Linked DNA regions of Rattus norvegicus. The protein of the gene in region 2 purifies or fractionates together with the protein of the main gene of each other region. This does not show direct contact. Links are inferred from orthologs where the notes say so. Each region holds a gene or a part of one and is shown on either strand. Other genes may lie near its edges.

Region 1 (4,282 bases), on a different chromosome or scaffold from region 2:
GCAGCCGGGGCCAGGACCTCAGCATGGCCTTCTCATATCCCCCTATTCCTCACAGCCTTTAGAGGTAGAGCCTAGTTCTACCTCTCTTTACAGTGTATGAACCCCTCAGCTTGGTTTCTCCTCCATCTGCACCACATTCTCTCTCTTTCCCATCACACATTCATTCATCATAGTGCCACCCACCACAGGTGCTTGACTGTCTTTCTTCTGGCCTCCCCCAACACTTTTTTTTTTTTTTTGGTTCTTTTTTTCAGAGCTGGGGACCGAACCCAGGGCCTTGTGCTTCCTAGGTAAGCGCTCTACCACTGAGCTAAATCCCCAGCCCCCCCCCAACACTTTTTTAAAATTAAGTAATGTTATATATTTGCGGGATTCACTGAGTAGTCACATAGAGAATCAGTCTAGAGCCGTGTGTGGTGGCACATATATACACCTGTAATCTCAGCAGTGGGGCAGGTGAAAACAGGAAGATCAAAATCCGGGAATTCAAGGTCAGTGCCAGCTACCGAGCAAGTTTGAGGACAGTTTGAGCCACATGTGATCTTGTCTCAAAAACAAGATAACGACAAATAGGTAGATTTTTTTTTTCTTAAATCATTCTAGAGAAAGGCTGCTTTACATGTAGGCACTCTCTCCTAGACAGCCACTTTTTGACATTGGGTCCATCTAAGCTAAAAAGCTAGAAAACTGGCTTTTTCTAAAGTGACCACTCCCCATTGCCAATTTCACTTAAGTTTTTCTGCATGTCCCCTTTTCCCTGTCCTCTCCCTCAGCGTCTTTGGATCTCTAAAGCTAAAACGTATGAACGGACCCAATTGAATCATTGCAGTTTTTAATTGAGAGGAGGGGTGTTGGTTTAAGGAAGATGCTATTCTGACCCCCTTCCTTTAAAGCTGGACCTCTGTCCTAACACGTCTTAAATCTGAGCCTAGAATAACGCTGGAGGAAAGGGGTGATGGGAGCGGGGGAAAAGGCATCTCTTCCGTGCCCACTACAATCCATTGCAGACAAGGGGCAGGGCCTTCTGTGCCCACGCCCTCGGGGGTACCTTACCCGGCTCCCTTGCCATCGGGGTCAGCTCTACTGAGCTGCCCAGTTGGAATAAAGGTTAAACGCCTTTATTCCAAGCGCGTTTGCTAACAGCGCGTGCGACTTCAGGACTACAAACCGTTATGGGAATTCTGTGTGCATATACGTCCGAAGCGTGCTGGCCCGCAAAGCGCCGTTCGGTTCCGGCAGCAGAAGGCGCTGTCTCGGGAGGCTGCGACCTATCCCCGCCCCCCGCCCGCTCCCGCCTACTTAGATGCGCAGGCGCGGCTTCGCGGATTGGCCGTCAGCGGGAGCCGTCATTCGGTGGCGGGTCCCGGCCGCGGGGCTGGCGGGCTGAGGGGAGGAAAGATGGCGGCGGCGGCGGCAGCTGGTGCGGCTTCTGGGCTGCCGGGTCCAGTGGCACAGGGATTGAAGGAGGCGTTGGTGGATACCCTCACCGGGATCCTGTCCCCGGTGCAGGAGGTGCGGGCGGCTGCAGAGGAGCAGATTAAGGTGCTGGAGGTGACAGAGGGTGAGTGAGGCGGGACCGTCACGAGGATGGCTCGGACCAGGGCCGGCCGCACAGTCCGCTGACCGCAGGGATTTGGGGATCCTTAGCCAGGAGAGAGGTGGGCGTCAGGAGTGGGTTAGGAAACGGGGGTGGGGGTGCCGCTGGCGGCCGTGAAAGTCCTAGAAGAAGGGTGGCGCGTCTGAAACGAGAGGGTCCGGGGAGGTGGAGCCTTAGCGGGGATGGGGTGGGTGAAGACTTGAAAAGATAGATAGTGGCTGGGTTCTGCAGAGGACAGAAATGGAGTTCGACGTGGTGCTGTCGATGTCGCGCAATCTGGATATTTGAGACCAAGACAAGATCTTTTGCCGTTTTCTTCTCCAACTCGGTTCTAGTGGGATCAAGGAAGGGAGCTAGAGAAGTGCGAGAGGTAAGGCCCTTAAGAAGGCGGCCACCATCAAACAAGTTTCCGTATCAGAGTTTTAAATCTGGCTAGTTGTTCAGACACCTCTTGTTTTCCTAGAAATCAACTCAGTTCGATGCATACGATGCATCACTTTCCCGACCATCCTTTCCGTTTTATTTTTCTTTTAAAGACTTACTGGCAATTATTGAGTACTGTGCATTTCTATGTACAGGAACGGTTTTTCCTTTGTTTTAGATTCTTTGTTCTCATCCTTCCATTATGTCCTTTTAAAGTGTTAGAGAAGAAACTATTTGACGTTTTCTTTTAATTTCCTGTTTAGTGGGCTTTCAGCAGGCCTTTTTTTTTTTTTTTTTTTACAAAGAAAAAGGGTAAAATCTCCTTGGTCTTTATGTAAGAAACCTATCTGATTTGGAATTCCAGATCCTCAGATTCCCCAAGTTCAAGGGAATATTTTCACTGCTCCTTAAACTTAGGCTTCTTCAGAAATATGGGAGATTGTTTCCATATTTGACCAACCAACCCCAAAACCTTGAATTAATGCTCCTACGGGACTTATTTTTATTGAAAAGAAATGGATGTGGTGGGGGGACCTCCTTTGAACTTAGTTTTTATATTCTTTTATATGACCCAACCATTGAAGGAAAGTTCCCTTCTGTTGGAACTATTGGGATTCGGGATCTAATAGGTTAAAGACTTTTCAAAGGCCAGGTGTAGTTTTATAACATACCAGACTCTCTTAAGAGAAGGAGCCGTGGATGGGAGAAAGCCATTGGAAAGCAACACATAACTTGACCTGAGGTTTCCCGGTCATGTTCCTTGACTTTACAGTTCATACCTCTGCTCCCTCAGTATAAGGAAAGAAAGCTGATAGGCAGAAACCTTACTAAACTTGTTACTTGCATTTAGTTGCTGGATCTGATGCAAACCGATCCTTAATCAAACCTTCTATGAGTAATACCCAGTGTTTGAGCTAACTCCCAAATTGACACCTTGCTGTGAAAGGCGGGCTTATGTTTAAACTGTACAGTAGCTCTGACTTCTTCCAGCTCTGGCCAGATGCTATGGCCTCCTCTACGGCAAAATCAGTTATAAACTTCTTGAAATCATTTTGAAGTTCTTGTCGCCTACTCTTGTTGTCCTTTGGGGTCTTGAGATCAAAAGTACAGAATTTTGAACTAGTCCACTGGTGAATAATCTGGTAAAGGCCACCTCAATTCTTCCTGTCCCCATAACCTACTGATAATGTGCTGAGTGGCATGCTGTGAGGCAGGGGGTAAGCTCTGATAGAATAACAGGAATGGTGGCCTAGTAGTGAGGCATATGACTCAAGTATAGAATGCGGTTAGAGTTAGATCAAACCTGGAGTTGAATATAGTATATTGGACTCTTCAGTGGCTTTAAAATAGTCTTGTCCCCCTCTGTACCTGTTTTTAGTTAGAGGATAGTGGTTCATTCCTTAAGACTTTTCCAGGAGTGGTCTTCAACAGTAATCTCTCCCATTGGGTCACAGGCATCTCCAGTTGTACATACTGGCTAGCTCTCTGAGATACCTTCTAAACGTAAGCTAACAGCTTCCTTAGCTGTGGCCCTTCTGTACATGAAACAACAGCATCTGGTCTCCTAGGAGGAGTTCACGAGCTTCTTAGAGTGTCAGGGAATTGTCCCTGTAATGAAAATCTCAGTGGGACAAAAAATAAGGAGCCTTTCTTTTTCTTTTTTCTTTTTTTTTTTTTCCTTTTTCTTTTTTTTCGGAGCTGGGGACCGAACCCAGGGCCTTGTGTTTGCTAGGCAAGCGCTCTACCACTGAGCTAAATCCTCAACCCCAATAAGGAGCCTTTCTTACAAATGACTGAAGAAATGATTTGCGCCCTTGGAATTGCCTTTCAGTTCTAGTTTTATCCCAGAAGGATGAGCCTTGCTTTCTGATCATTTAAAACATCTTCCTTACAATCTGAAGTTTATGAGAGTTGGTGTCTTATTTTTGTGTTTTGGTAATTTTCTATGTCAATAGAGCACAGGGTCAAGTAATTTATCAGATCTAGTCCCTCTACCCTCCCGCTGTGAGCCATTTGCTATTGCCTCACATAAACATCAGACACTGGACCCACATGGATTATAAAATTTTAGGTTTTTGCTTTTTTGTTTTTCCTAGCTGTCCTTGAACTCAATCTGTTGACCAGGCTGTCCTTAAACTCAGAGATCCCCCTGCCTTGGCCTCCTGAGTGCTGGGACTAAAGGTGTACACTGTCACTGCTAGTTGTGTGCCTTGTTATTTTTCATTAATGTCTGGTGTGTGCCTTTCTTAGCTGCCAGCTGAA
Region 2 (2,739 bases):
TCATCTCAGCAGTACCTATGACTTCCTAAATTCCAAGAAGGCTCATCTAGATCAGGTTAGCCTGTGGGTGTGTCTGTGGGTGACTGAACTGCCTTAACCAATTAGGAAGACAGCCAACCAGAAAATGAGTGGAGCTATCCACTAAACTCAGTAGTATGCATTTATTGCTTCTCTCTCTGCTCTTACTTGTGGCTTCAAGTTCCTGTTGATTTCCCCACAGTGATAGACTGCAATGTGGAATTTTGAGTTAAAATAAACACTTAATACCCTAAACTGCTTTTTGCAGTTACTTTATCACATCAACCAGAACAACCGTGCTTTCAAATATCACATCATTCAAACCATCAAAACTGGCTTCAAAGGTGAAGTTGTACAGCTGTTTTAGAACTTGTTATGCTGTTATACAGCAAGTTACAGAAGCAGTTCTGAATCAGAACTTAATTTCTGACAACAGCATTTAAAAGGCAAATACTACCAGAAATTAACTTCATTGATTTCTAGAAAATCCTTACGTTTAAAAACACTACTTTATTCCAATACTACCCATGTGTACAATTTGAAAACAGGCAGAATAGAAGTAAATGTTTTATTTTTCCAACTAAACTCCAGTGCTACAAGGGCAGTAAAACAATAATACACTGGGGGAGGGGTGCAGCAATAAACATTTGTTAAAAAGACTGATAGAATAAATAAAACTACCAAAAAATAATAAAGGAAATCATATAAACCCATTCTGAAACCCCAAGAAAAGTCCTGAAATACAGAAATGCCCTCCTCCTCCTCTTCCTCCATCTCACTGAAGTACTGTAGACTAACTGCTTAAATGTCCTGGGATTACATTCTAAGTTATTAATAACTGGTTACAGCTTGGTTGTAGTGCACAATTAAAATCACACTAACTTCATCTGACGTGTCATTCTACAGTTTTATTTACATAACCAGTGAAGGGCATGTTCTAGAATGCCAGCTTTAATCCCTTTCAAACATTAATATAAAGAAGCCAAATTGTAATGATACAGCAAAACGAGGCCACTGGTATTAATACAAGTAGCAAAGGTCCACATCCGGGTGGTAATGACATCACGGAAATTTCCAAAACCAATTGCTGCTGCCTAAGAGTGGTTGCCACTGACGAAAGCTTGAAGTAACCTGGTTCACAGATGGGCGCTGGCATTGCTGTATGTCACAGCTGGGACCTCCTGCAACAACTCAACAAGGAACAAGGCAGCCCACAAATGCAAAAAGCGTGATTCATGAAACATCTGGAGGAGAAAAGGAGTATTAGTATAGCTGATAGCGCAAAATTACAACAAACAAGATCATTCCTTCCTAACACTTTACTTTTGCTTTAAACTAACCTTTTCTCCACACTTTTTATATCAACTCTCTTCTTAAATATGAAAACATGGTCTTTTCTGTTTATAGTTCAAAGGTCAAATACTTACAACTAGCAGGCTGTTCTCCATATCGCCGCATTATCTGATCATGCGTAAACTTCACAAATGCATCGTATTGTTCTATAAGTAAAGGTATGTGTAAATTACATGACTTGCATGTACATATTAAATATCCTCTCTAATGTATCGGAAAATATAAAGGAACATGAAGACTCTTGACACCATAATCCTTTTCACAATCTGAATAGTAATTGTAAACAGTTCAAATAAGTGTTTTCCACATGATGCAAAATAAAAATTTAATACCGTAGCTGATCTACGTGGCTACCTCATACCTGGGACCATGAAGGTGAGATATGGGCTTTAAGAATGTTAATTCTCCTTTTTTACTGAAATTCTCTGGTCCACAGACAAGACTACCAATGTATAGAAAGATATGTCAATGTAAAAACACCTGTAGGAAATAATTCTTAGTGAGCTTCTAGGTGTGGTGATCTGAATAAGAATGGACTCCAGAGTTTCACATATTTGAATTCAAGTCACCAGGGAGTGGAATTCTGAGAGAATTAGATTATGAGGTGTGGTCTCATTGGCAGAAGTGCATCACTGGGGTAGGGGTAGGATGTGAAATTAGAATGTAGCTCTCAGGTATCGTGTTAGTACCTATCTGTATGCTGCCATGCTGTAACCCTCTAACACTGGAAGCAAGCTTCTAATTAAACGCTTTCTTTCCTAAGAGTGAGTTAGTTGCCTTCGTCATGGTGTCTCTTCACAGCAACAGAACAAACACTGGGATCTTCAAAAATAAACTCAGTTGTTACCTGCAAGTTTTGTGTTCAGTATTTCTTCATATTCTTCTCGAACCTTCTCTTCCCGTTCTTTCAACAAACGTTCACAGATCATCCCAACCTGCCTTAGAGTAAATAAGGGCTGTTCTTTTTTTAATGGTGAGGATGTTGCAGATGAAGTCCCTATGTACAACATGAATAAAAGATCACCTGATTTAGTACCACAGAATACCTCCTGAATGAAGGTCTCACTGAGAGAACTTCCCCATGTAACTTAAAATCTGTTATCTGGGACTGGAGAGATGGCTCAGAGGTTAAGAACACTGGTTGCTCTTCCAGAGGTCTTGAGTTCAATTCCCAGCAACCACATGGTGGCTCACAACCATCTGTAATGGGATCCAATGCCCTCTTCTGGTGTGTCTGAAGACAGCTGCAGTGTACTCATATACATAAAATAAAACAAATCTTTAACAAAAAAAAAAAATCTGTTATCTATGATAATTTGATCAGACTATGACTCTGGAAAAAGGATGTTGTCTAGAGGAAAAGATGAG

What was found.
Region 1: the proteins of Akirin2 (region 2) and Ipo9 purify together in Homo sapiens (affinity purification with mass spectrometry; 3 studies listed by BioGRID and IntAct, counting the BioPlex papers as one, with this or other methods). This does not show direct contact. The link is inferred for Rattus norvegicus from reciprocal best matches to the Homo sapiens genes AKIRIN2 and IPO9.

Annotation. Positions count from the first base shown.
Region 1 is NC_086031.1:49,411,546-49,415,827, reverse strand, and holds the start of Ipo9 (importin-9), read left to right. Parts: upstream 1-1,350; 5' UTR 1,351-1,398; coding exon 1,399-1,561; intron 1,562-1,869; exon of another isoform or gene 1,870-1,967; intron 1,968-4,282. UniProt on the Homo sapiens protein: Nuclear transport receptor that mediates nuclear import of proteins, such as histones, proteasome and actin. Serves as receptor for nuclear localization signals (NLS) in cargo substrates.
Region 2 is NC_086023.1:53,916,707-53,919,445, reverse strand, and holds the end of Akirin2 (akirin-2), read right to left. Parts: intron 2,369-2,739; coding exon 2,219-2,368; intron 1,518-2,218; coding exon 1,446-1,517; coding exon of another isoform or gene 1,420-1,445; exon of another isoform or gene 1,263-1,419; coding exon 1,252-1,262; 3' UTR 576-1,251; downstream 1-575. UniProt on the Homo sapiens protein: Molecular adapter that acts as a bridge between a variety of multiprotein complexes, and which is involved in embryonic development, immunity, myogenesis and brain development.